Nothobranchius furzeri: one gene and its partners. The main gene of each other region encodes a partner of the protein of the gene in region 3 in a complex. Links are inferred from orthologs where the notes say so. Each region holds a gene or a part of one and is shown on either strand. Other genes may lie near its edges. The genes, in order: smu1a, sf3a3, sf3b3, mfap1, phf5a, ddx46 and ik.

Region 1 (4,154 bases), on a different chromosome or scaffold from region 3:
TTATTATTAATAAGTAATTAACCTATACAAATAATTGGTTTCTGATTGAAATTAAGTCTTCTTTTGCTTTTTTTTTTATTTAGGACAAAATTATCAAATTTCAGCCTTTTGAATTTAGACGTCTTTTTTTTGGTGGCATCTCCCTCACTGAAAAAAATCTGCTGTTTTTTTTTCACGTCAGAATACTGAAAAAAATCTCTGCTTTTATGCTAATATATTCGGAGGGATTGTGGTGTTATGGGATTCTAAAAAACGTTGCTCCGCCTCTCTCTGCGCTCTCTGGTACTCATCTCATCCAAATATAGTTCTCCATCTGCAAAGGCAAACAAAACCAAGTAGGATCTGCTCGTTTTCTTGCAGCCAAATTAATTTCCAATTTGGCTGGTTCTCACAGTTGGATTATGTCATGATTGCCCATAACAATCAATGCCTGCAGAATGAAGTGGTGCATCATCATAACCTTGAAAGACCTTCACTGGCAGCGTAAAAAGAGTCAAGGGGCCTCTGTGTCATAACTGTGCAGAGAGCAGCCCCTGTTGACCACATTGAGAGAAGGATTTTTATGTATGTGCACATGCTTTAAAGTAGTGGAAGATATTTTATTCCTGATGCATCTTCATTGATTTAATTTTGCACACAAATAAAGTAATTTGGGCTTCCCCAAAGATTCTAGAGATGGTAATTCCAACATCTACTATCTACATTATCTACAACATGAAGGGCTTTATGCTCTAAAATAAATAAATGGAGAAAACCCCAGTGAAAATAATATGTCCAAACAAAATCTCTGAATGTGTACAAGTGAAAAAAAAATTATAGAATGAAAAAAAGATACACTGAATGTTTGACTTTATCAGTGGGCTATAATCAAACTGCAGATTACAGTCCTCATTTATATTTGAAATCCCAAAGTTAATGTTTTGTAAAGATATAAACAAAAGTACTGATCTTCAGAAGGAGTTTGTATTTTATTTTTCAGATTTACACAATTTTATTTTAGAAAAAAAATGGCAAAAATATCACATTTTCTAAATCTGAAATATTACTTTGGTACAGCTAATTTCTGTCCACTAATATAATCAATTTATTTACAATATTAGCTAAATATTATTAATATAAAATGGAATGAAGTACAAAATCCCCATCATTTTATAATTTCAAACAACTGATCTAAATGCATATTCTCTCTATTGCCAAAAGAAATAGTCAGAGAATTGGAAAAAACAACGAATTGTCTAAAATAAATTAATTTAATTTCATTAGCAGATTTCTTTGTATTTTTGTTAAATAGTTTCGTTGTATATCAATAAAGTTGGCAATGAACGGTTGAAATAATTTTATTTTGAAATCTGTCGTTTTACACGCAACTTCCGTTTTCCTTCTGCGTGTTTCTCGCTTGTGCTCCAGGACTGTGTTGTTGCTGCTGTCCAACGTAAATAATCATGTCTATAGAAGTGGAATCTGCGGAGTAAGTACTTCTTTACGTGTCCTGTTAATCTTATTTGTTTTTTTTTTAAATAAAAATCTAGCTAATACCACCACACTAGATGACGGTATTTGCGTTAAGGCCTTTCGTTCTGAGCTGCAGCAAACTAACGTTAGCACCTTAAGCTAGCATGCTAACGTAAGTCTTCTAAAGGTGCATTTTGTGTTCTAGAATGGCCAAGTTGGATAGTTTTCTAGTAAAAATTGTTCAGTGTAATTTTTATAATTAAAATAGTTTGTTCTGTCTGTGGTCATGTTTCTACTGACCTGAGTAAGTTCGTTTGGAAGACGAATTAGCTTCAGCTAACGTTCCACAGTCATTCTGCTGTGTAAACTTGGGCTGCACAAGTGTAATTTAGGGTCGAAAATACAAATGCTGCTTCTTGCTGTAACACGTACTCTTAGTTTGTAGAAGTTGTTGAAAGAAGACGTGTAACGATCTAAATGTCTTTAATAAACAGCTGAGTTTATAGTTTGGTCAAAACTGCTAGAGGCCTGTCCATATTTCGTATAAATCCCATTTCTTTAAGTTGATTTTATCCATAGATCACTTATTTCTAAGTTATGTTTTTTGGTCCATCACACTTTTTAACTGAATTGTTGCCCCGTCTGTCGGGGATACTTGTGTCACACTGTTTGCTCATTGAATTCTGTATCATCAGCATGGTTTCTGTGTGATGTTTTGTTTTATTCCAGCGTGGTGCGTCTTATTATGCAGTACTTAAAGGAAAACAACCTGCACAGAACTCTGGCCACACTGCAAGAGGAGACCACAGTATCTCTGAACACTGTGGACAGTATAGAGAGCTTTGTGGCAGACATCAACAGTGGCCACTGGGACACTGTTCTACAAGCCATCCAGTCCCTCAAGCTGCCAGATAAAACCTTGGTAGATCTTTATGAACAGGTGAGGTTTGGATGTATTGTTCAGCATATTGCTTAGTGCTATTCCCTCGGCACTCATAAAGTTAAAAACCTATAATAATTTTTTTGTTTTATGAAGAAATCAAAGTAAACAGGTTTGTGAAAAGCTGGCTGACAGAAAGGACGTTGTTCTTTTTGCTCATGTTCACTGTAATCTTAATAAAGGTTAGAAAAACATACAGTGCAGATTTTAAAATAATGCTAGGGAGACTTAATCTGGACAGTCACCGCATGATTAAATTATTTTAATTTTAATTAATAATTTTACCTCAGTAGTTTTTTCTTCTGCTGTCCATTCTTATTACACAGTATTTTATCATGTAGCTGTTTATTAAAATGTCTTTGTTGTGCCCTGACCAGGTTGTCTTAGAGCTTATTGAGCTGAGAGAGCTTGGTGCAGCCCGTTCTCTCCTAAGACAGACGGACCCCATGATTATGCTGAAACAGACTCAGCCAGAGAGATACATCCACCTGGAGAACCTGCTGGCTCGCTCTTACTTTGATCCTAGAGAGGTGAGTTCAGAGCCTGATGTATTCTTGGTTTATTTCCATGATGTCACATTGGCATCAGTGGGTCTTGGGAGTCACTTTAGTTTTTCTTGGAACTCACTGAGAACCTCACTCACTCTGGTTCCAACAGATTCTCATAGCACAATTATTTTCTTTTGAAATTTTTTTAAAGGGATCATTTTAATAGTTAGATTGCTCTTTAACAATAGGAAACCAGAGCTTGGAGGTGTGAAACCACTCAAAAATATCTAACTTTGAATTTTTATTCATGCTCATGCATTAAAGTGCATTAAAGCTGGGGTGCATAGTTTAGATGTATTACAGTAATTTAAAATGCTTAAATTTGACTATCCAACACTGTTCTATGAAATAAAGTAGGTACCGGTAATCTTTCATAATTTAGATTTCTTCTGGGTCCCTCTCCTGGCCTCTACAGCTCAGCGAATCATTTATGCGAGCCTAGAGGGTTGACCATCGACATAGATGGTGTTGACCATTAGAGCTGCATATCCACGAGAGGGAGCTGTCAATCAACGCGAGTGAACCCCAGGTCTGAGCATGCACTACGGGGTCACTCACTCAGCTCACCGGCCTGCATTTAATTTATGTTAGTCTGTAAACTTCAAGCTAACGGTGGAAGAGTAAGGATGGGGAAGGAAAAGGAATTTAGCTTTTGTGTTTTAGAGCTGAGTGATCAGCATAGCATTCAACCTTGCACTAATTTAGACTGTTGATTTAGCCTGCTGTATCATTAGCACAGGTGTGCTACCATCACCAGATTCCCGTTGGTTTTAAATGTTTCCCTGCTTAAATGATACATGTTTGATGCAGAACTCTAATTAGACCATTCAACAGGTGTTAGAATCAGGTGTGTTTGAGCAGGGAAATTAAAAAAGTTACTTGTCTGTTAGCACTAAACGTGCCATTTGGGTTAGCAGTGTGAGGCGGGGCTTTCAGCTCTTTCCAGAAGGAGAGGGGGAGAAGGGATGGGAGCTATAGCGGCGCAGATTTCAAAATCTCTTCTTCCTCTCTTTGATGTCACGATACAGACCACAGCTTTAAATTAATGTATAACAATTTTATAATTAAATATATATGGTTTAATTATGCTGGTGAAACTCTTTCCAGGCATACCCAGATGGCAGCAGTAAGGAGAAGCGTCGTGCAGCCATCGCTCATGCGCTGGCAGGAGAGGTCAGCGTGGTCCCCCCCTCCCGTCTCATGGCTCTGCTGGG
Region 2 (3,955 bases), on a different chromosome or scaffold from region 3:
CCCACGGGCTCGTTCCGACCCGGTCCGCTCCGCCTGTTTTGTTGGATAAATGAAGAGTTAGCATCAAGCATGTAGATGTCGGAAGATGCTGCAGCTAACCAGGAGCAGCCCTCTGGTAGCGGGTCTGCCACTGACCTCTGCCAGGTCTGCCCCAGTAGCACAAAGACAGAATGGATACCCCCCACCCCCCCACACCTCGTCTCCACAACGACAACGACCGCCCCCCCCCTTCCGCAGATAACGCCTCAGCGCCTCAAATCCATTACAGCAAGCGAGTGTTGTCACCGTGGAAAACTGGCTGCTCACCTTCCTGAACAGGCTGGACGCACCGCGGCGGAGAAAACGGTTCCCAAAGTCCCTGTAGTCCACAAAACCCAAACACTGGCTGCCCGGTGCTTTGACTTGCTGCTGCTGGAGAACGTACCGAAGCCAGAACGCCACTGTCAAGGCAGCGACTGTTACTGTGGAGTTTCCGGTGTTGACTGCCAAAATAAAAGCTCTGGCGGTAATTATAAAGATAAAAAGGAATATATATATATATATATATATATATATATATATATATATATATATATATATATATATATATATATATATATATATATATATATGACATGGGATCAGACCTCTGAGAATCATAAAAATGTTGGATATCATTTCTACTTTAGTTTTATCACATCCTGTCACATTACTATACACAGCTCTGACAGTGGAATGCATCGTAAATTGTTGTATTACATTTGAGAATGATTTATCATTTGCACCTAAGAAACAAGTTATAAGCGCCAACACTTCCGGTCTGTGGTAAGTGCGCTCCACCGCGTGTGCGCTGGGATAGTGTGTGTGTCCTGATTTTGCAGGCTTTGATGAGATGTGATTAGAAATAGCTCACAATAAAATAACCTCAAACAGCTCACGTGAACGAAAATTTCTATTTTGATCCATAAAACCGTCCGCAGTCGAATTATTCACAAACTCTCACGTCTGGATCGGTCTGGATGGACAGCAAATAATAATTTTAAAACTTTCATAAAATTCTAATAATATAAAAATAAAATATATGCTAATTTGTCCACTTGTAGGAATCCCGTACTGTCACCGTTATGGACGTTTGTGTGACCACAGCGGAACTAATAATTGGGAAATGTTTTCCTAGCCGTACTGAAGCGGACAGTAACTCCTGAACAGACGCCTTTGGTCAACGTACCATACTGCGCTGTGCTAACGCTTCAGCAGCAACCCTGAACAGTCTTCATTAAACTCTTGAGCATTTTGTAAACGATGGAGTCGATTTTGGAACAACAGCGTCGCTACCACGAAGAGAAAGAGAGGCTGATGGACGCAAAAACTAAAGAAATGTTGCACAAAAAGACCACGGTAAGCAGCGCAGCTTTTAGCATTAGCATGTTGCTAACACCAACGCAATGTTCACGTATTTGTTTTCGACTCTTGTTTCAGCTGCGGGATCAAATTAATTGTGATCATCGAATAAGAGCCATGTTGGATGTAAGTATGAAATGCTGCTCTTCCACCAGTGAGCTAAATGTTGTTTGGTGGTGTAGTTTTTTCCGTCGTGTTAAGTAATAGAGTCAATAACAATCATTGTGCTTAAGATCTGAATTTTATGAATCATTGCAATCGATGTTGTTCTGATTTGTTAAATGTAATATAGAAGTTATATCAGAAAATAAAGCTTATTTGTTGTTGGGTAAAGTTGCTTTTATTTTTATTGAGTTACCTGTAATGCTTGGTTCCTGCCTTGGTCGTCATTCACTTTTAGTGTAACTTTGGTGAATTTTCACCATCCATCCATCCATCGTCTGAACCCGCTTGGCCACGTAGGGTCGCGGGGGGGGGGGGACTGGTGCCCATCTCCAGCGGTCAATGGGCAATCAGGCGGGGTACACCCTGGACAGAGTGCCAGCCCATCGCAGGGGACTTTCACTGAATTTTCACTAATAGTATCCAAACGTTTAGAGAAGTAAATCAAAACCTCAGGTTGATCACTGCTGCTCTTTTAATCTGAAGTTCTCCTCATTAAAATGCAGTGAAACCAGAGGGCTTTACTGACACATCCAGACTTCATACACAAAACCCAACAGGTGGTACAGAGGGAGGATTGATCCTGCCAACGCTTACATTAAATTAAGAAAGGGCAAAAAAAAAAAGTAATTCAATAAATGAGGAAATACAATTGAAGATAACACACTTGGAGTTAAATGAATACAATTATTAATTTCCACATCTATTTTTTTAATACATTTCTTCATTTATATTCCTCACACTTCCTGTGGTATATGGTGATGAGGTGAATTAAAGTTAAAGTCCCACTAGTTGTCACACTGATGTGTGACATTGTTCTCTGCATTTGACCCACCCCCGGCAGTCCTCCAAAGGTTGTTGGAGACACGGCAGCACTCGGGAGCTATTTGGTGGTTTAACCCCCGATCCAACCCTTTAAAGCTTAGTGCCAAGCAAGGAGGCATTGGTTCCTGTTTTTCGAATCTTAGGTGTGACTCGACCGTGGATTTGAATCCCGATATCCCAGTCCCAGGGCAGACACTCATACTAATAGCCCACCTAATAATTGCATCATGTATTTCTATATGTACTTTCAATTTTATAACCAGTTATTGTCAATTTTGGTGGGATCAGACCTCCATAGGTTGATTTTTAAAATGTTTTAAATAATTTTAAGAATCACATTTAAACATGATCCTGAATGAAAGCGTATGTCGTGGTTGAATAAAATACTTGATCAGCTCAGTGCAGTGTGCTGGTTGCTTCTAAAGGTAATGTGCTTTATTTAACAATCTGATGTTTATTTAGATCTTCTCAGATCTAACAGAACTATGATGACATCTGAATCAGTCTGATATTTCTACCTGGAGATTCTAAGAAGCAGAATTTGTCAACTGATCTCACACACAGCTTAACCCAAAGTCTTAGATCCGGAGGGCATTATGCACATAGGGGTTGGGGTGCTCGGAGCGCCCCAACCCCTATGTGCGTAATGCCCTCCTCCCCTTTTCATCTAATGATCGTGGTTAAAAGGAAATCCTCCAGAATGCTGCAGAATCTGTGTCTGCTTTTTTTTTCCTGAGCGGTAAGTCTTGTGTGAGTGCATGCTTGCATGCACGCGCGAGTGTGCCTGCGCTAGTTAACAACTCGTTTTTAGATTGAGAAACTCCGACAGCACACGCGGAGGGGTTGAGGGGGGTGCGGTCTACCACTGCCTCAGTGCCGCTCTCCCGGTTCGCCAGGTGACGCCTCTTTCAGAAGCGTTTTTCTAACAGGAAATGTGGATGAAATGCGTCTCCAACCAGGCATTGACCCTCACTTTAAATAGTATTCTAGAGCTAGGTGTTGTCAAGCTATGTGTTACCATGGTAATTTAGAGCCAAGTCTATTACCATGATGATCTAACAGTGAGTCAGTGTTGGCTAGTTTAATGTCATCTGTTGTCATGTTCTGTGTCTCCTCACAGAGGTATATGGAAGTGAGTGCAAATCTCAGGGACTCTTATGAAGACAAAGATGGGTACGTTTTAATTTTTTTAAATATATTCAATGTACTTTTTTTTTTTGCTTGTTAGAGTTAAGCTGTTGTCTCTTTCTGTTACCCATTGTTTACTCAGGTTTGTTTTCCTGACAGTAAAAAAAATCTAAATATATAATTACATTTTTATTCTGGCCTATCAGAAGCGTTGGTATCCCATTCCACGGCTTTTGTTGCTACTTCTTTTATTAAATATATTAAATATTAAAGTCCAATGGCTCTATTTATAAAACTTTGTTTGGATCCTTTACTAAAAAAATTTACTTGCAGAAATAAAAAATTGGACCCATAAAACACTGCGTACATATAGCTGTACACAATTCCTGCTTTATCTAACTCTACCTAGAAATGTGTTCAGGTGATTTTGGATCACATCCCGCCTCCCGCACACCCACTG
Region 3 (4,146 bases):
GCGCAGCCACGCTGTCTGAATTTCAATGTGAGCGCGTGATTCGCACGCGCACACGCGCTCTGGGTGCACAAAGGCTGAGATCACAGAGGAGGAGGAGGAGAGGCTGCAGAAAAATGCGCTTAGAGTCGAGCAGCTGCAGGAGGCTGCTGCCTCCCAACGGAACCAGGCACGAGACGTCCAACTCGGGAGGAGGACCACTGAAGTGCTGCTCAGAACCAGCAGGCAGGAGGAGAAGGAGGAGGTATCTTCCCCCCACCCCTGAAGGAATAGTTTCTGCAACTTCCGGTTTTTCCTTTTCACAATTAAACAATCCCACGTCTTTCACAATACATACATCTATGACAACCCCCCCCCCCCCCCAAAAAAAAATGCAGTAATATTCTAAAATGTCAGGGTGCTTGAATTCCCCTGTCAAAATATATTGAAAAAGATCAGACTAATTATTCTACAAATAATAATGAACTATATACAAAACAAACAGGCCTCCCAGCTAACAGAGCAGTGGTTTCCAGATGTGTCGGTGTGATTCATTGAACAACCAAACCAAACCAAAGTTTTTACCCTCACCAAAACAAAAATAGGTCTACCAGTATGGTTATTCTATTTTGGGTTGACATAGTCAAATACTTTATTAATAATTATTCTTTATTTTTATCTGACTTTTGTAGATTATCTCAAGTCCCTAACTGAGGAGTTTTGTGACCCCCAGTGGGGTCACAACCCCAACTTGTTTTCTAACACAAATAAGTTGCCTCTACGTTTGAACATCTTTTCTCTGGTGACAAATGCATCTTCCCACTGATGGGATGAGAAAATGTTCGCCTGACCTCCATCTTTCCTAATCTGCTATTTAGCAGCATGCAGCTTCTCATAATCCATGTCATGTTTTTAAATGAGAAGTGGTTCTCAGCAGTTCACCTGGATAAATAAATGTAAATAAATAAATACCGGTACATAAAATAATTACTAACGACATGAAATGTGTTTTCTTCATGTTATCTAAATATGATATTATTACTGTAATAACTTGAAGATTAATCAAATGTAGAATTGTGATAAGTATTTATTCATGTGAAAAGAATGACAAAAATATATTGTATTTTTAGATATAAAAATCACGTTATAACTTAAACAGATATTGTTTGAGCCTTTTCCTTCACGGCGTTATGCTATATTTTATTATCGCTTGAGTGTGTAGCAAAACAGTTGATTTATTTTATTGTCTAAACTTATAAAGCGATATCAAGTGTTTTGTTGACATCTGCTGGACAGCATGCGCTACTACACTTTATTTCTATCAGGCATTGCTAAGGTCACCTATGAAACCCGCTTCACGGTTAAAGAAGGACCCACACAAACGGAAGCCCTACGTAGGCTTGCTGTCCTGAAGCAACAGAGAAATATTCGAGCCGATGAGTTTCAATCCACCAGAAATCACAATCATCTAATTAAATAACCCGGTAAATTTTTTATTTTTCAAAATTTAAACAAGTATTAGTCTGAATAGGAACGATATGTTTGTGAACTATGAAAGGCTTTTTAGTAGGATAGCAGGAAAACAAAAGCGGATGCTGCTGGCAAGAAGTGGCGCTTCGTATGAAAACCTTGTGGATTTACCGTGAGCAGGCCGAGTTTATCCGAAAATAACCTATATACAGCTACGGAAACCGTTTATGGGGATAAGTTACATCCTGAGAGGTTTCGGTGAGCCCGGAGGAGTTGCAAACTGGTAAACATTCACGTCGTGCAGTAAATTGCTAAAGTCTGCTCATTCAGCGGCTGGGAGGAAAAGCTAAAGAGCGTCTTGGATGGATTGGGGTCCACAGAAGTCCGGGTACCAGCTCCAGCTGTAATCAGTTTAACTCGTACGGGTCTGATCTGGACTAAAACGCACGTTGGATTGTGAAAATAATTATTGAAATGTCTTCTGTCTGAATAGAAAAGGTCAAACTACATCTGGTAAAGGTGGTGCCAACAGTTATCTGGCCCTTTTATGCGTTCCCTTTAGGAAGGTTTTATAAATAGTTGAAAGAACTAGTTTAAGTTGGTTTGATATACTACATGAGTGGAAATCACTTCAGCTTCTGCATTTAACTAAATTCCCATAGGCAGTTCATTATTTAGAGTGTATTTGTTGAAAAAGAAGCTGTTGGCCTGAGTCATCTAGTATGTGAATCAGTTGACTGTAGAAGTTTGAGCTTTCGCATTTAACCACCTGTTTGCAGTTGTGAGCCGGGCTGAGCTGCTCCGGAACAACCCTGAAAGGGAACCATGTTTCTCTACAACATCACCCTGCAGCGTGCCACTGGCATCACTCACGCCATCCATGGAAACTTCTCAGGTGAGCTTCCTCCGGATTTTTTTTTAACTTTGTATCTTTTGTTTGATTATCCAAGTGCGGGCTTCAATAAAACAGTTATGTTTTATTTCAGTGTAGGACCAACGCTGTGTGACACAGCCTGTGCAGACCAAACGTTTTACTTTTCTATATTCAAACAATTTTAACCCTATAAAGCTCGAATCATGTTAATTAAATGTTTGCGTGTAGGAACCAAGCTGCAGGAGATTGCTGTTTCCAGAGGAAAGATCCTGGAGTTATTGCGGCCGGATGCTAACACGGGAAAGGTGCACACACTCCTCACAATGGAGGTGTTCGGCATCATCAGATCCTTGATGGCGTTCCGACTCACCGGAGGAACTAAAGGTACACATCAGACTGGAAACAATAAAAATGTGTGTCATGTATTTATAAATATTTTACAAACATCAAGACATTATGACTGTATATCATATTTATAACATGAAGTACAGTTTAAAATAACAGTAACTAAAATAATATTACAATTAGGGCTGCAGCTATTGAATATTTTTGTAATCGAGTACTCTATCAAATCTTTTATCGATTAATCGAGTACTCTAATAAATGGCCCTTTTGTGTTTGTAAACCATTATATCAAATAGCATGTTATAAAATATGAAAGACCTCTTAAAATAAGCAAGCAATTGCCAGTTATTCCTCAAGTTTTATTCAAAATTAGTTTTCAAAACTTCATCACTTCAGCTTTACTTCACAGTAAACAAATGCCTGTGCAAAAAATAAGTATGCACAGTGTTTCCCCTAGGAATTTTTCCAGGGGGGGGGGGGGCTTGGCGAGAAATTATGACACGTCTCTAAATAAAGTGAAATTTTCTAGTGCAGAGTGGAGACAACCCATAGAAGCACTAATTTGATCTCATTTCAGAGAAATATAGAACAGGTCAGATGCACCTAATAAATAAAATTACTAACAAACTCAGGAATCTGTTTCTTTGCTTCACTGTTCTGCTGCTGAGAATATCACTAATGCGGATCAAAGGAGATACACAGATGAATGCACCTCTTGTTTATTATTTGGAGACTACATTTACTGCAGCTGGCAGAGGCAGAGATTTTTTCTATTGATACACGGAATTTACAGAATCATTTTAAATGTTAATAGGGGAAGACTGCAGGAGGGAGCGGTAAAATACAGGGGGTCCCCAGCAAAAACAAGAAACTTTACGAGTCTGATGAAACCCGCTGGTTTTCCATCAGGCAGTCACGGGGCAGCTCCAACGACCCAGTGGCTGTGCTGGGTCAATGTTATCGAGCTCAGTCCGGCTCGGTCGTGAACGAGCCGAGGCGACGTCGTGCTCTGCTTAAGAAGAGGTGTTATTTTCCCGCTTCAGAAGAAGCGTCCAACGTGTTTTTACGCTTTCTCCGAGACATGTCACGTCGCTAAGTTGTTAGCGCCGCACGCTAACACGTCAATAGTGCAGCGTAGCCTGCTGGAGGTTTTAAGGGTTCAGATGAAAACACCCGACCTCTCAGGCTGCTCACACATCGATCTTAAGTTGTCGCTGTTGCGCTCACACCGTAATATTAGATGCGGTTAAAGTCAGACATGAAAAAATACATGAATAAGTGATGCTTAGCCTGGTGGGGGGAGGAAAATCTGGCCTAGTAAGCACTGGAGGAAACCCTGTCAAGATCGTCAACACTCATTTATCTTAATGCTGTTGAAACATGTAAACCAAAAAGCATTACATCCACTGCTACCTTTCTAATTTTAAACTCAGTAACTTATGCTGTAACTTCACCTTGTCCTGCCTGCTCCTCCTTGCTGC
Region 4 (4,034 bases), on a different chromosome or scaffold from region 3:
AAACAACCTACGCTACCCGGCCCAGGCTGACCCGATACAGATGGGAATGGCCCATTATACTCGCTCCCACCTAGCAGGAGGCTCTGATCCATTCAGACCAGAATCGCTAGCCACAAGAACAGTTTCTTCCCCTCCACGGTCAGACTCATGAATGCCAATCGTAGACCTGCCCACTGCAGTTGCTTTGTTTCAGTCACCTGACCCTGTGTTGTGTTATCACGTAAACTGATCTGCTCTGATCACTACCTACACTGACTTGTTTATTGTAGCTGCTTCTCTAATTATTGCCTCCCTAAATAATGGTGTTTATCATGTTGTCTACCTTTTGTTTGCCTGGCAGGCTGGAACACTGAGCGGGTCCAGGAGTACTTTGTTTGGGCCTCTGAGGTGGTGAAAGGCCTGAAAGGAACTAACTCTGCCCTGGAGGGGAAGCTGGAGGACTTGTTCAGAGAGGCATTCAACTCTGATGGCAAAGCCACACGTCTATACTGTTAAAATGACAACTCAAATGCACCTTTATGAGTGAGCTTCAGAAAAAAAAGAAAGAAGTGTGAATGTACTGTCTGCTGCACTGTCATTTGTATTATTGTCAAATTTTTAAAGTCATGCAAACCAGAACAGAAAATTAAAAGAATAAAAACATATGACATTTCTTTTATAAGTCTGGTTCATTGTCATCAAACCTTTCAAATAATTTTCACACAGACACAAAGTTTTTTTTTTAGATAAGTGAAGAGTTGCTTATTAGAAAGTCAGTCAGATTAGCCTTTTGTTTTTAAATAAACCATGATGCCAAAGTTACAAGCCAACCTCAGTCCATCCTATTACTCTGTTAAGGGTCAGGGCGTGCACTTATTTATTGTGCTAGTAAATTGAACTTGCCTGGAGCAGAAGAAATGTAGTTTGTTAAGCTGCCTGTCATTTTTGTAAAAAAAAAACGGAATGTTTGATGTTGGTTATATTTGTTAGGGTGAAATCGGGTTTCTGATCATAATGAAAAAAAGCTTGACTTGAAGGCCTATCATGCATGAAACATAAAAACCACCAAGGGGCGGTGATTTACAATTTACAATTTAATCGATTTTAATTAGCTTGATGGTCATTTAGAAAACACGTTTATAAAAATGCATAAATGTCAGTTTTGTAAAAACAATTTAATGTGAGACGCTTTCCTGTTCATTTGATTCTTGAGTTTTTGGTTTTTCTCTTCGGAACAAATGCACTTCCTGTCCGTTCGCGGAAGTTGTTCAACTTCCGGTTTTGAAACGAAGCAGCCAAGAGATTGTTGAGACTAAGCGCAACATCCTTTTATTTCACGTCCATAGTTTTGTGTTGTTGACCGGGCAGTCATGTCTAGTCACGAAAGCGTCAACATGAAGCTCCCACCGATCCAGTCCACGGCAGGAGCCGTGCCCATCCGGAATGAGAAAGGTGAATCGTGTTAGGGTTAGCTTCCATGCTAATGTAGCATCTGTTATGTAGCGTCAAAAAACGCGAGTTAAGTTTCTAAATAACTAATTCATTACTCAGCAAAACAAGCTGAAAAGCAATTTTGTGATGTTGGTTTTTTAAGAGAGTAAAATGTGTGTGTGTGGTGGGAGTAACAGTTTAAAATCTAGAAATGGAGGAACAACTGACAGTTTACATTTTTTTAAACAAGATTCAAGATCTTTGATGATCCAACACAAATGTTTATAAACAACTGGAAAAAATATATTTTAAATAGCTTTTCAACTTTTTTACGTGTTAGATAAGTCATCTGTTAAGTCCCTTAAAAGTATTCATGGGCTTTTGTAACGTCATTTATCTGTCTACCTAATAAGAGCTTGTCTGAGACATTAACTCGTTGTTTTAAGCTTACGTCTGAGTTTTGGGGTCATTTTATTACTCCCAAGGGCGAGGGGTATGCTGTATCTGTCTGATTTAATTTAAATAAATCTGCAACATATTGTTTTACGTTTTTTATGGTTGAGTGTTTTTTCCTGTTTAAATACTCTTGTACTAAGCTTGAGGAAGTGTATATAATCATGCCCTTTTCTGTACACAATGTAGGTGAGATCTCCATGGAGAAGGTGAAGGTGAAGAGGTATGTGTCAGGTAAACGTCCAGACTATGCCCCCATGGAGTCGTCAGATGAAGAGGAGGAGGAATTCAAGTTTGCTAAAAAGGGAGTGGAAATGGAGCTGGAGGTAGAGCAGCAGGAAGAAGATGTGAATGACCCACGTCTCAAACGTTTGCTCAATCGAACTTCTGAGGACGTGGAGGAGAGGTATCACTCAGTTTTTCTGATTAAACTCAAATTCTGTCAACATTTTGAGTCAAAATGTTTCCCGTTTGTTTGTGCTCAGGCTCGCAAGACACAGACAGATCGTAGAGCCTGAAGTTGTTGCTGAGAGCAGTGAGGACTCTGATGAAGGCACATGGCACCCTGAGCATCAGGAGAGCAGCGACGATGAAGAGGAGGAGGAGGAGGAAGAGGAGGAAGAAGTGGATGATGAGGTAGCAATTGTGCACCAAAAAAATAAAATCCTTTTAACTTTTTTGTTGCATTTTGAACAAATTATTAATTTGCTCATCGTGCTTGTGACCAGGAAATTGAGAGGAGGCGAGCAATGATGCGCCAGCGTGCAATGGAGAGGAAAAATGAAGAGATGGAAGTGATGGAGGTGGAGGAGGAGGGGAAGTCAGGAGAGGAGTCTGAGTCGGAGTCAGAATATGAGGAGTACACAGACAGTGAGGATGAAGCAGAGCCGAGACTTAAGCCTGTTTTTATTCGCAAGTGAGAACTAAACTAAAAATGTTTCAATAAAAATTCCAGATTCAGAACACTAGCTCAAATGTTTTTTTTTTGCACTGCAGAAAGGACAGAGTCACTGTGGCAGAGCGCGAAGCCGAGGAGCTGAAGCAGCGAGAGCTGGAGGCCGAGGCCAAGAGGCAGGCAGAGGATCGGCGGCGCTACACCCTCAAGATTGTTGAGGAGGAGGCTAAGAAGGAGTTTGAAGAGAACCGGCGCTCGCTGGCTGCACTGGAAGCTCTGGACACTGACGGGGAGAATGAAGAGGAGGAATATGAAGCCTGGAAGGTCCGAGAGCTGAAACGCATCAAGAGAGACCGAGAGGCCCGGGAAGCGTAAGTAAACTGCAGGATTCCAAAGGATTTATGGTGAAAGAGTGATGCAGTTCTCTTCAGGACGGTCATTTGTGGTGTTTTGTTGTCAGAATGGAGAGAGAGAAGGGTGAAATTGACAGATTCCACAATATGACGGAAGAGGAACGCAGGGCGGAGCTACGCAACAGCGGCAAAGTCGTCACCAACAAAGCCTCCAAAGGCAAATACAAGTTCTTGCAGAAATACTACCACAGAGGAGCCTTCTTCATGGTGAGTCCCAGCAGACACAAGAGTCCTTTTCACGGGATTGTCACCAGGATTCATAAAAAAGCAAATTTTTAAGACAACCAAGAGATTTTCCTAAAATCTTCATTTACAGCTGCAGTGTCTTTTCTTTGACAATTATTGTGTGATAAAAACGGCGTACCCTTTCTTATAACACCTTTATTATTTAGATGTCTGTAAATGACAGGAAATCCCACCAGATTCTGAAGGAGGTGATCGTTTGTGATGGGTCACCAACAGGTTATACGTGTAGGGATTTATTGTGTGGTTTTTGTGTGTTAGGATGAGGAGGAGGATGTTTACAAGAGAGACTTCAGCGCTCCTACACTGGAGGATCACTTCAACAAAACCATCCTACCCAAAGTCATGCAGGTGAGACCCTTTCGTCTTGGGGTGCAACGAAATGAAACTTTGGGCTGATGTCGATATTGTTATGGCTGATAATCGATATTTGTCGATGCGACATATACAGGCTGACATTTATGCTTCTGAAGTCAGCAGATTTTATGGAGACTTAAAGTTATGTAAGCAGAAATTTTGGACGTCTTTCTTTTTATATATATTCAGTTAATATCGGTCCAGTTGTCCTTATCAGACCGATACCGATATGTAAAACATAGATATTGATGCCGATATGTCAT
Region 5 (4,074 bases), on a different chromosome or scaffold from region 3:
TGAAGGCTGAACCAGAGGAGAGAGAGAGTAAGTGAAGGCTCTTCAAATTTGGTTTAAAGGTCATTTTTGATCATTGTTGTGTGACTGGGTTGTGTCTCTGTAGTCGTTAGAGTGCAGGTGAAGGTGGAGGAGATGGAGACCCTTATCAACCCCCCAGACCAGCCTCAAAAAGTCTCGCAGTGTGAAGTGAAACAAGAGAAGGCCGAGCAGATGATCCAGTCGGGACATCAGGTGCCAGAGCAGAGCCCACTGGCAGACATGATCCATCAGACCGCAGAGAAAAGAGAAACAGCAGAAAATGGAGGCGAGCATAAAGGACAAGCTGAGCGGAGTTAAAAAAAGACAAACCCCAGAAAAAAGGAGGCCAGAAAATGGGAGGAGCATGGAAGAGATGTGGGAAAACAACACAACAAGACACTGCAGGAGGAGCTGAACCGATGGAGATATAAGCGGCTGCTGTAGATGACGTTCTGAGATGGTAACAGATGTGAATCAAAAGACGGCTGGAGCTATGTCTCATGAATCTCTGCTGTTTATAAACTCTCAGACCCTCCGACCCAAAAAGAGAGTTCAGAACTGTCTCGCCTCCCCCAAGGTCACCCTAGCTACACCCAGTTCCTCAAAAGCTTTTGTTAGTGATCAAGTCATTGTTTTTGTTTCGTTATCAGATTTGTTTTTGTGAGCAAATATCCAGTCGGGAGTAAGAGTCAGACCAGTAGGTGAACAGATGAAAACCGGCTGATCCTGGCTGCATAGACCAGGAGCCGGTATGGCAATGTGGACCTGTTTCACTAGTTAGACTAATTCACTGGCTGGTCATATTAGCCAAGTTAACTGTTTTAATGTTTGTTGGTATAATTCTGTTAAAGAAGAACTCACAGTGGTCATTGTAATGATTTGAAACTGACAAAAGTAATAAATATATACTGAAAATCCATCTTGGCTTTTGATTAGTGGTTAAACAACAACTGAAAAGAAAATAATAAAATGGACCTGGATAAAAATGTTCCCTATTCTTCATTATTTGTTGTTGAACCTTTTGAGACAGTGTCAGCAACCCAGGGATTTTTGTAATTTTATTAACTTTGCTGCTGTTCTATGGTAACTCAGAGACATTGCAGCTCGTATCAGGATGAGGCATCACCTCTGGAGCAGAGGGATAAAGAATTTTAGTGAACATAAAACTTGGAAATTTGTTTAAATTCTGGGCTAATGACAGCATTTTCACCCAATGTCCTTGTTTATTTGAAACCCGTTTTTTAAGAGTGTAGTTACAAGGTGAAGGCACTAGGTGGTGGTAGCGACTCAACTCGACACTTGCACGCCGGTCAAAGGTTAAAACTGAATTACGTTCGGCCGTCGTTGGTTAGCTGAAAATGGCTAAACATCACCCAGATTTGATCTTCTGTCGAAAACAAGCGGGTGTCGGTATGTTTCTTTACTTTATGTCGTTCGGTACCTTTGAAACTACACAGATATATCAGAAACACGTTTGATTTGCGCCATGTGTTAGCTGCTAAGCTAACTGTTAGCATAAATACTGAAATGAGTAGCGGAGCTGGACGTGTCTTTACGGTTTTCATCTCTGTTGACACTAACAATTTTATGGTTTTTAAACCCGTTTAACTGAGTATTGAACATAGAGAAGTACAAATTTATCGTTTATCCTGAAAATTGAAACGTTTAATTGAACGACTGTTCTGTTTTCCTCCCGCAGCTATCGGGAGACTTTGCGAGAAGTGTAAGTGTCTCCACTTTTAACACGTTTACTGTAAAGTCTATTTCTGTTATAGGTTTTCCTCTAGAACGTTGTGCTTTTGGCTAATTCTAACCCAAAGATCTAGCTGATTTCCTTGGAGTAAAGGCGGCTAAAAAGAACCAACCATCATAAACGCTGTTAAACCTCTAGATTTTATTTATAGGCACTTTAAAAACACCCACCTTATAAAAAACCATGCCAATGTAAAATCCGTAATGAATTTTAAAGTCAATGCAATGTAAATTTAAGCAGCATTTTTAAAATAATCAAACATAAATTTAGATAAGAGAATTTGAAAATGATCTGAGGTGTCAACAAGGAAAAGGAAGACGAGGCCTTAGGGTGGAGGTGGAGATATGCAGGTCATCGTTAGGATTTTGGATATCGAGGACAAAGACTGGGATTGGTCTTGAAAGTGAGGCAGAATCCTGTGATGATGCAAAATTGGGATGGCAGCATATATCATATGCTACACGTGGCAGAGCTTTTGACTGACTGATGTCTTTAAAGATGAGGAGCCAGCTGAGGTGGGTTGGGAATTTGGTATGGATGTCCCCTGGACTCCACCTAGGGGAAGCGTTTCAGGCATGTCCTGCCAGCAGGAGGCTCCAGGTCGACCTGCGACACATTGGAGGTACCTCCACTTTGGGCAAGGCACACCTGGGGATCCTGCTGGAGGAGGTCTTCAGAAAGAGGCAAGGTTGGGTATCTCTGCTGGGGCTGCAACCCCCGTGACCCAGACTCATATGCAGGTAAAATCTGGTGGTCATTTACAGTAATCAGGGTCCAGATGTATGGCTGTAAGTGAAGAAAACATATTTTCTACACAGACCGTGCAAACATGAATCACCTTTAGACAGTACATGCTGGACATGAGGAATAATAACGAGGTCACAACCCAAACCAAGATGTTCACCAGACTGAAACTAGTCTGAGAGAAGTTAAACTCTCAACACTGAACTTCACTAAAACTAGTTTCTCCATCCACTGAGTTCAGCGTGTCCCAGCTGGGACAAAAGAGACAACAGAAGAATGTGTTAACAGAAATTTTCAAACCTGTGGACATCCTGTCTGGACACTTGCCAACTTAACCAGAAAATCTGGAAAAGCACCCGACAGGAAAATTTTAAAGTTATTGCAAATGTTGCAGGATTATCAAAGAAACTCCAAACGTGGCATTCTGGTGCATTGGAGTCCAGATGGGACCCTGAGACAGAAGTTGGTTTAGGTGAAGGACACGAGCTGAGCAGAGTCTGCACCTGTACACACAGATCAAGGCTCAGATTTAAATCTGAGAAAGATGTCACTTCCACATTTTGCTTTGAGAAAAGTCAATGAAGCCATTAGGTCGAATAGGAAAAGTCGCAGTTAAACAGATCTCCGGTTTCACTTATCCAACACCTCCAGTGCAGCTTTGGCTCCTCTCCCACTTCGTTTCACAACCACTCACACTTAAAAACACGTGACTGAAACTCTTCCTAACGTTCCAAACACTCACAGAAGAGACGGCGGGTCAGTCTTGTGATTGTTACAGTTACCTAATAAGATCAGAAGCACTTTCACTTTATTAGTAAATGTAGAAATAATTATTGTTCCCATCACCAGCTTAGTTTCTCTTCCTCTTCCAGGTGATGGGAAGTGTGTGATCTGCGACTCTTACGTGCGACCGTGCACGCTGGTGCGTATTTGTGATGAGTGTAACTACGGCTCCTATCAGGGGCGCTGTGTGATCTGCGGAGGTCCCGGCGTGTCTGACGCTTACTACTGCAAAGAGTGCACCATCCAGGAGAAAGATGTGAGTCCTCCTCTCGTACGCCCAGCTGTGTCTGCAGGAACGTCTCTAAATATTTTGTTCCTCTCTGCAGCGAGATGGCTGTCCCAAGATCGTAAACCTGGGCAGCTCCAAGACAGATCTGTTCTATGAAAGGAAGAAGTACGGCTTCAAGAAGAGGTGAAGACAGGAGAAACACCGAGTTCATAGTCGTTTTTTTTTTTTCCAAAAACTTTTTCTTAATAAAATGTTTTTTCTATTTCTGTCTTCATGTTTTGTGACTGGAAAAGATAATTGGTGAACATGAATCAGATGGAATACTCAAATCTTTTCATTAAACATTTTCAAATTAGCCTAAGCCTGTTAGTTTTATTAAACCTTATTAGATCATGTAAACGTTTAGCAGCAAGCTGTAGAACTGAGTGAACCCAGTCTACTAGTCCCACTTCTCTCTTACCATTTCTATTTATTATAACGTGTCAAAGGACACGCCCTTTTTCAGGAATATGGCTAGGAAATTTTCACTTCAATTAAAGTTTATATA
Region 6 (3,500 bases), on a different chromosome or scaffold from region 3:
ACACATGACAAAAATTGGTGACTGTGGTCCTTCGCAACATGAGTCGTGCTACCGTAATAGATCAAGAGGGTTTATATGAGGATAGAGTTGGGGGAGGGGAAAAAAGGGCAGTTCAGAGTTACCCCCGACAGAGAGGATAGCTTTGCTGTGCAAAAAACAACACCTCAGACAGATATGCACACAGACTTCAGATGATACACACCATTAAGTGCCCACTAGGAGGGGAGGTGGGGTTGGACCGTCCTCACTTCAGAGAGTGCAGCCGCAAGAGCAGCGCTCATCACCTCCGTTTGGACAGGGGAGGGAGATACTGGGTTAGAGAGCTCATCGACTCCTAAGCCCTTTTCAGATTGACATTCTGAAAATATGTGTGGACAACTCAGTCCGGTTTTTAACCAGAACTGTGTTTTCAAACACACCACTTTTGTACCTGAACTTGTCCTTCCGGCTGCTTTCACACAGCAGGGAAAAGTTCCAGATGTCTGAGGGGGAGGGGGTGGGAAAGCTGTACCCAGATATTGCGTAAACATGGCGCGGCGGGCGTACATGCGCCATTTACCCAAACAAAGCCATTCGGTCAAACATGGCGGACGAAGAGATATAGTTCCTCTCACTGATCGGACTTATGTTAAGCATAATTCTGCACACAAGAATAAGAGACCTGGCTGATGAAGCTCAATGGTTAATAAATGAATCACGGAAGCGGTGTGAAGCGCTCAGTCGCGCGTCTAGGAGACGGTACCGTAGGAGGCGAGCTGCCTTTGTCGCCGCATGCTACAGGAGCGAGCTATCTAGGTGCACACAGCTTCCCCCGGTCCCCTCCTCCCTGTCCGGAACTCGACCTCACCAGTCTGAAGCAGCCACCCTGTTCATGACAAGTCCGGTCCTGTTACTAGGGGCTTCGTCCGGTTTAATTACGGAACACGTTATCCGGATGTTTGTATTCAGACACAAAGGTCTTACGGACAGAGTGCCGAACATTTCCGTTTTTCATGGCCTGTCTGAAGGGGGCTCTAGATACGGTTCCACGGCCTTCACCGGTCACAGCCCCGCCCAGGCTGGGATAGGGAGAAAGCATTTCCATAGCAACAGCAGCATTCCACATTTCTTCTGAGGGGAGTTTTCACTTCAGCCTCACAGGCTCCAAGAGCACCAGATCCAGATAAGAATTGTTTTGGGGACAGACCGAGATAATTTCCTCTCTGCCTTAGTGTTCTATTGTTCTTCAACCCCTCTAGATCCAGTAATGGCGTTATCAAAATATTCCAATCCGTGCTGATCTGTCAACTCTCCCCTTGATCGAATCAACCTTCTGTGCCAGAGCCTGAATCTCAGCCAGAGTTCCAAGCTTCCGACTCATCTCGACAATTATCCGAGTCTGTGAGTTTACAGCACGATGCATTCCATCCCTGAGCTCCGGGATTGAGCCAATATTCCTCGAAAGCTCGTTAATTTTCCGGTATGCCAGGTAACCGCTCAGGCCAAACAGCAGAAATCCCAACACCAAGACGACGAATATCCAGACATCTTCAGAATCCTCTACGGACAGTTGAGACAGGCGGACCAAGTTCCACAGTTTCCAGGAGTCCATGATATATCCAGCTGGCTCCGTCCCAGAGGGACATCCGGGAGCCCCTTCTCCCGTTCTCATCATTGAAAAAATGTTGTCAATCGCGTTGAGAGAACAACTAACCAGATCCATGTTTGATAATTTCCAGAAAAATGCAGAGACGTGCAGTGCACAGGCAGACAGGGAAAAAAGCCTTGGGAAGAGCAGGGAGGAGGGAGAGGAGAAAAAGGCGTCTGTACTCTCCAAGAGCCGAAAGAAGACGATAAAAAAAGCCAAATGCCAACGCAGAAAGCTCTTGATCAACAGAAACACATTTAACTAAATACAAATTGTAATTATCACGGAGCTTTGACACACCTGAGCCTCAGCTCCCAGGTTCTTCTGAGCGTTGATCCTGAGGGCAAGCCTTTTAGCCATCTCCAGTTTCTGGATGTTTCCAGCAGAAGCCAGGGCGACTCCAGGAAGCCCCCCAGAAGCGGCTGCTGTGGCAGCAACAGCTCCGGCTGCTCCAGCAGCCGCTCCTGGAGCAGAAAGATCCTTCACTCTCTTCTTGGAATTAAACATGCTTTCAATCTGCTCCTCGATCTGAGGAAAGAAAACAGATGTTTGAAGACTGAGTCAGAGATCTAGATCCTCTAATAAGAGGAGCTACTCACATCCAAGGCTCCATCCTCGTCATCGGAGTCCTGCAGCCCGAGAGCAGCTTTCTGCAGCTTCTTCCTCTCGTTAGCCAAAGCGTGCTCCGTCTCATCGAACTTGAAGCCTTTTCCCGAGAAGCCACTGCTGCTCTTAATGGCCTTACCCTCCTGTTTGGGTAGAGGGGCAGAGAAAAACAGGAAGACATGACATAACATTTTATGCTTACCCTTTTCAAAACATTAAGGTAACATTAAGTGATAGACACTTTTGATTTCAAATTTCAGAAATGCTGTTAACAGGCAAAGTTTGGTTTAGCTGTTCTATCTTACGGCTTTCTGCCGATCTTTGAAGGACGCCCAAAGCTGTTCCAATTCAGGCGGGACAGGAGAGCTGGACAGCTCCAGGGCCTTGATAATGTCACCAGCGTAGCGAGCCTGATCCTCCGTGATGAAGGTGTAAGCATAGCCCTAAAAAAAGAGGAATAAATAATACAGAATAACCAGGTGTCCATGCATCCACCCTCCTCCTCTCATCCGTGGTCGTGTCACAGAGCAGCAGCCCAGACTTCTCTCTCCCAAGCCCCCTGGACCAGCTCCTCCAGGGGGAGTCCCAAGGTGTTCCCAGGCTAGCTGAGAGACACAGTTCCTCCAGCATGTTCTGGGTCTTCCTTTGGGTCTCCTCACCGTTGGAGGTGCCCAGAAAACCTCACAGGGAGGTGTCCAGGACACCATCAACTGGCTCATCTTGATGTGGAGGAGCATTCTTTTGGTCACTAGCCAAAGCTCATGACCATAGGTGAGGGTTAGAACATAGAGTGACCGGTAAATTGAGAGCTTCACCTTCTGTCCCAGCTCTCTCTTCACCATGACAGAACTGTACAATGCCTGCACCACTGCAGACGCAGCACCAGTTCGCCTTTCGATCTCATGCTCCATCTTTCCCTTGCTCATGAGCAAGACCCAGAGATACTTAAACTCCTCCACCTGGGGCAGGACCTCGTCCCTGACCCGGAGAAGGCATTCTACCCTTTTCCGACTCAAGACCACGGTCTTGGATTTAGAGGAGCCGATTCTCATCCCAGCTGCTTCACACTCGGCTGTGAACCGCTCTAGTGAAGGCTGGAGATCATATTCTGATGAAGCCAACAGGACCACATCATCTGCAAAATGCAGAGACTCGATCCATAGAACACCAAAACGGATTCCCTCAACACCTTGGCTGCGCCTAGAAATCTTGGTGGCAGCCTCGGCAGAGTCCAACTCACACAATAACCAGGGTGTCAAACCTAAAT
Region 7 (4,150 bases), on a different chromosome or scaffold from region 3:
CCACCTCGTGTGGACTGACCAATGAGGAGAGGGTCTTAACTTGAGGTCCTCTCTTCATTGGTCAGTCTGCATGAGACTGACTCTCAACTGACGTTCAGAGTCATAGGCAGCGAAGCGTCTCAGCGTAAAAGCCCGGGTGGACAGTTTGTTTAATATAGGGTGACCATATTTCCATTTCCAAACAAGAGGACAGGGGATCTGTGCCTATGACGTCACACTATGGCAACGCCACAAATATTACGTTGGGACCCATTTTTTTGTAAGAACTAAATTAATATCAGATTCTGCCAATAAAAGGGCTCTAAAACAATTCATATGTAAATATTTTGCATATTTATTGCAAAATCTAATTTTTCTGCTTTAGTGCTGCAACAATGTTTTATTAATAATAAATTACTATACATTTTGTTTTACTACACCATCGGTAAGCTTCCTGTGCACAGATTATTAAGGGTGCTCATTTCAGCTGTGAGATTAGACGATAGGATCAATGAAAAAATAAGTTGTCACACACTCCATGGAAACTTTCAGAGAATCCACAAATAGTGGCTTTCAAATAGTTGTGTTACTTTTAGCAAGTTTATAAAAGAAGCAGATGAGACAGCATGTCTGATAATTTAGTTTTTCATCTGATAATATTAGAACATGTCAGTAATGTCTGAGGAGCTTTTATAAACACTGTATAACTAACACTACTGGAGAGGGTATGAATTACACAGAGGCTTCTGGGGAGCCCAGTTATGGGGGGGGCATTTTGCCTTGGCCCCCAAAATGTCTTGAAACGGCCCTGGGTGTGTGACTGAGTCTTGAAGGTGATCTGAGCTGTATCAGATGCATAATTATTACATGTGTATAACTTATTGTTTTTTACTGGTAAAAACGTGTAGTGGAGATAAATCTGCCTACATTTTACTTTTCAACACTTTGTTTTGTTTTCTTGTTTTTATTTAACTATTTTCCTGTCCTGTCTGTCTCTCATCTTCCTGCATCTCCTCTAAACTCTCCAGAAAATCTGCTGCCTGGATTCTTACCTTTTCACCTCATCAGTTACTTCTGAGCAGATCAAAGGCAGCGTATCACGTAGACTACACCACTGTGTGGCATCACTAAAGAAAACCCTGTTTTGCTTCCTTCCATCGTCTGTGTGAATCAGCAGAAATGTGCGCTGTTTTTAGTCATTCTGGCGCAGTTTCCTACCTCTTGCTGCTTTGCAGCGTTATGAATACTACGGAATACTGTGGTCGATTTGCACCGGCGGGAAAAATCAGAAGAGTTTATATAAAAACGTTTAAACAGCGCTAGTGTTTATGTACGTATCTATGGTCTGACGTGAATACAGGAAGTGACGTCAGCGCTCAGAAACTCCTCAGAAAAAAAGAGCCAGCGCCATAGATATAAGCGTCGTACTCAGCAGAGAGGTAGACCAACAAAGGCTGTAGCTTCTTGATCTCCGCACCGACTGCTGTCCGCCAAGATGCCCGAACGTGAGTCTTACAACCATTATTAAGAAAACACATAGACGTAGTAGATTAATACAAAAGCATAGCTTATAGCGAATTATATTAATGCAACGTGTAATGTTTTATTTAGGCGATACGAGGCTCTGTTGGCTTATATTAGCGATCCAGCTTCCGGTCTACCGAGGGGCACTTTGGTTTAATCAGCACCGGAGCTCAGCGTGGCTACGAGATATGGCGCGGGGACAGTGCCACGGCTAAAGGCTAGTTTATCCACCCTTAAGGAGAAACGGTGATGTAAGCAACATCCGGTGAGATACCGGAAGTAGCGCATTTGTTTGCATGGTGAGGTTTTGTTGCTAGTAGTGGTTAGTAGTGAACATTTGAAAACGATTAAAAAAAATTAGGGATGCACCGATCAGGTTTTTTGCTGCCGATCACCGATACCGATCACGTGGATTGGCCAGAAATTTTCTACAACATTATAATGAGTGCTACAAACTATATAATCTGGGAATAAAGGAAATGTAACCTAATCTAAAATGGTCTGTATTAGGGTTGTCACGGTGTAAAAATTTAACCTCACGGTTATTGTGACCAAAATTACCACGGTTTTCGGTATTATCGCAGTAATTTTTTTAAACGTGCTACATTTTCACACAATTAAATAAACCCTGTATGTCAGGAAATATTGTCCTCAATTTGTGTCTAAATTTAGCCTAAAATGTGTTATTTTGTAATTATGTTGTTTATTTGTTTACATTTTTTCCCTTTAGTCTTTAAAATACCAATATTTGCCCATAACTTCTTATTTTATGTCTGTTTGATGTCATCATTTTAAAAATATTAGATCAGATGATACTCCATACTCAAGTAGCCTTCTAATCAGATACTTTTTTACCCTTACTTGAGTAATAAACCCTATATCAGGAAAGTATTGTCCTCGGTTTGTGTCCTTCCAGTGAGCTTTGCAGATGTGGGAAAATGTCATCAGGCAGTAATCGTTGTTAAATTCATAATTATTCTCAGAGAGAGACCAACTCTTATCTGCCCCTGGGAGCCCCGTAATGCATAGCGTCATTTCAACATGGGGGTGTCCGCGACACGGTTTATATGCAGGTAGCGGCGCTGCGGCTGCTTTATATAGCGACTCGTTGCATTCTCCCTCAACCCAAATCCTCGGATCACGCATTTTAGCTAAAACGCTAACGTTAGCTTGCCTTGCGTTGACTGTAGAGTTGTGGGTGATGGTCACGCAGATGTGTCATGAGATTTGAAGTGTAGCTGCCTTTCACAGACACTTTTTCTGCACGTGCTGCAAACAGGATAGCCGTCTTCTATCAGCTGTCCCTCGGCATTCTTCAAATATCCCAAAAAATGCCCGTACTTCCCACTTTGTCTTCTTTGAGGGATAATAAATGTCCTGAGCGCTGCCGTCTCCTCCTTTGGTCATTATTTCAGCTTTAGCTTCAAGAAAGTTTTAGTTATAAACAACAAAGTGCGCATGTGCCGCCGGCAACTTCAGCAGATGATACGGTGGCTGGTAAGGGTCACCGCGCCTACACCGCAGCCACGGTAATCCACCGAGATAATATAGTTTTTTAAAAAACAAGACGGTTATTATTGTCAACTTTTTTTTTTTTTTACCGGGGTTTACCGCTACACTGGTTACCGTGACAACCCTACCTGATCGGTCTGCTTTGATCTATTTTGAAAACTCCGATCAAATCCGATAGGGGCGCTATCGGCCGATTACGATCAAATGCCGATCCATCGGTGCATCCCTAAAAAAAATGTTTTACCCCCAAAAATGTACTTGCATGGCTTGGAAGATGTTCACGACTACAAGCAACCAGAGAAAATAAAACTGAGTTTATACCACGCACCTTGGAGTAAGCCCGTGTGACTGGGAGCGTTGGTGCAGCTTTCACCGCCTCCCGGAGATGAGGAGCCCAGGCTGAAAAATCTTAACTTGAAAACCACCACGAACTATCTGTGCGTTACCTTCCTTTTGCTGTGAAAACCAAGAGGGGGACACACGCTTCCTACTTTGTCGTTGCATATGGTAGGGCTGCAACAACGAATCGATAAATTCGATGAAAATCGATTACTAAAAGCGTTGGCAACGAATTGCGTCATCGATTCGTTGTGTCGCACAACTCTTCCAAAAGCGCCCCCCCCCCTTCCTGCCCGCCGTTGCGCGCAGACCAGAGCAAGTCAGATCAGCGCGAGGGAGAGCCGGCAGATCAGCGCGAGGGAGAGCCGCAGATCAGCGTGAGGGAGAGCCGGTACCGGCAGATCAGCGCGAGGGAGAGCCGCAGATCAGCGCGATGGAGAGCCGGCAGACTTGCGCTGCTGCGAACCGGTTCCGCATTGTCGCGCAGCGCTCCAGGCTGCTGCTTCCAGCGCACGGTCCATTCTCAACGTGGCGCAACCAAAAAACTATAATTAGCACACGATCGTTCATGTCCGCACATATTCTCTATTTTCTGTCTTATTTGTGCCTGAAGCGCGCTACTGCGGAGCTCATCACCTGTGCTGTGGTGATGTCACCTCACGCAGCATCGAAAACGCGCTCTGCGCTTTTCAGTCAGGAGATCCCTTTGATCTGCTCAAAAGTAACTGATGAGGTGAAAAGGTAAGAATCCAGGCAACAGATTTTCTGGAGAGTTTAGAGGAGATGCAGGAAGATG

What was found.
Region 1: sf3b3 (region 3) and smu1a share a complex: the UniProt entries of both Homo sapiens proteins name them as parts of the spliceosome B complex. The link is inferred for Nothobranchius furzeri from reciprocal best matches to the Homo sapiens genes SF3B3 and SMU1.
Region 2: sf3b3 (region 3) and sf3a3 share a complex: the UniProt entries of both Homo sapiens proteins name them as parts of the 17S U2 SnRNP complex. The link is inferred for Nothobranchius furzeri from reciprocal best matches to the Homo sapiens genes SF3B3 and SF3A3.
Region 4: sf3b3 (region 3) and mfap1 share a complex: the UniProt entries of both Homo sapiens proteins name them as parts of the spliceosome B complex. The link is inferred for Nothobranchius furzeri from reciprocal best matches to the Homo sapiens genes SF3B3 and MFAP1.
Region 5: the proteins of sf3b3 (region 3) and phf5a are in contact, whole or in part, in a crystal structure (PDB 7B91), measured with the Homo sapiens proteins. The link is inferred for Nothobranchius furzeri from reciprocal best matches to the Homo sapiens genes SF3B3 and PHF5A. Residues at the interface, in NP_036558.3 of Homo sapiens: Gly85, Arg86, Gln104, Glu105, Thr106, Phe107, Gly108, Lys109, Ser110, Leu140, Ile154, Ser155, Ser156, Pro157, Glu159, Ser1162; in NP_116147.1 of Homo sapiens: Gln14, Ala15, Gly16, Val17, Arg44, Asp47, Glu79, Asp81, Arg82, Asp83.
Region 6: sf3b3 (region 3) and ddx46 share a complex: the UniProt entries of both Homo sapiens proteins name them as parts of the 17S U2 SnRNP complex. The link is inferred for Nothobranchius furzeri from reciprocal best matches to the Homo sapiens genes SF3B3 and DDX46.
Region 7: sf3b3 (region 3) and ik share a complex: the UniProt entries of both Homo sapiens proteins name them as parts of the spliceosome B complex. The link is inferred for Nothobranchius furzeri from reciprocal best matches to the Homo sapiens genes SF3B3 and IK.

Annotation. Positions count from the first base shown.
Region 1 is NC_091741.1:70,830,058-70,834,211, reverse strand, and holds the start of smu1a (WD40 repeat-containing protein SMU1), read left to right. Parts: upstream 1-1,354; 5' UTR 1,355-1,442; coding exon 1,443-1,468; intron 1,469-2,181; coding exon 2,182-2,392; intron 2,393-2,769; coding exon 2,770-2,922; intron 2,923-4,047; coding exon 4,048-4,154. UniProt on the Homo sapiens protein: Involved in pre-mRNA splicing as a component of the spliceosome. Regulates alternative splicing of the HSPG2 pre-mRNA. Required for normal accumulation of IK.
Region 2 is NC_091751.1:25,497,109-25,501,063, forward strand, and holds the start of sf3a3 (splicing factor 3A subunit 3), read left to right. Parts: upstream 1-1,155; 5' UTR 1,156-1,281; coding exon 1,282-1,377; intron 1,378-1,458; coding exon 1,459-1,506; intron 1,507-3,487; coding exon 3,488-3,540; intron 3,541-3,955. UniProt on the Homo sapiens protein: Component of the 17S U2 SnRNP complex of the spliceosome, a large ribonucleoprotein complex that removes introns from transcribed pre-mRNAs.
Region 3 is NC_091744.1:81,791,440-81,795,585, reverse strand, and holds the start of sf3b3 (splicing factor 3B subunit 3), read left to right. Parts: upstream 1-1,346; 5' UTR 1,347-1,460; intron 1,461-2,225; 5' UTR 2,226-2,271; coding exon 2,272-2,341; intron 2,342-2,548; coding exon 2,549-2,704; intron 2,705-4,146. UniProt on the Homo sapiens protein: Component of the 17S U2 SnRNP complex of the spliceosome, a large ribonucleoprotein complex that removes introns from transcribed pre-mRNAs.
Region 4 is NC_091749.1:30,004,243-30,008,276, forward strand, and holds the start of mfap1 (microfibrillar-associated protein 1), read left to right. Parts: upstream 1-1,234; 5' UTR 1,235-1,349; coding exon 1,350-1,431; intron 1,432-2,052; coding exon 2,053-2,269; intron 2,270-2,348; coding exon 2,349-2,499; intron 2,500-2,591; coding exon 2,592-2,779; intron 2,780-2,859; coding exon 2,860-3,129; intron 3,130-3,218; coding exon 3,219-3,378; intron 3,379-3,675; coding exon 3,676-3,765; intron 3,766-4,034. Other genes in the region: hddc3 (guanosine-3',5'-bis(diphosphate) 3'-pyrophosphohydrolase MESH1), read left to right, coding at 341-495. UniProt on the Homo sapiens protein: Involved in pre-mRNA splicing as a component of the spliceosome.
Region 5 is NC_091756.1:28,019,799-28,023,872, forward strand, and holds phf5a (PHD finger-like domain-containing protein 5A), read left to right. Parts: upstream 1-1,274; 5' UTR 1,275-1,376; coding exon 1,377-1,428; intron 1,429-1,717; coding exon 1,718-1,741; intron 1,742-3,387; coding exon 3,388-3,554; intron 3,555-3,624; coding exon 3,625-3,714; 3' UTR 3,715-3,789; downstream 3,790-4,074. Other genes in the region: l3mbtl2 (lethal(3)malignant brain tumor-like protein 2), read left to right, coding at 1-27, 104-336.
Region 6 is NC_091750.1:60,380,814-60,384,313, reverse strand, and holds part of ddx46 (probable ATP-dependent RNA helicase DDX46), read right to left. Parts: intron 2,677-3,500; coding exon 2,539-2,676; intron 2,377-2,538; coding exon 2,227-2,376; intron 2,156-2,226; coding exon 1,928-2,155; intron 1-1,927. UniProt on the Homo sapiens protein: Component of the 17S U2 SnRNP complex of the spliceosome, a large ribonucleoprotein complex that removes introns from transcribed pre-mRNAs.
Region 7 is NC_091750.1:27,147,303-27,151,452, reverse strand, and holds the start of ik (protein Red), read left to right. Parts: upstream 1-1,350; 5' UTR 1,351-1,474; coding exon 1,475-1,484; intron 1,485-4,150. UniProt on the Homo sapiens protein: Involved in pre-mRNA splicing as a component of the spliceosome. Auxiliary spliceosomal protein that regulates selection of alternative splice sites in a small set of target pre-mRNA species. Required for normal mitotic cell cycle progression.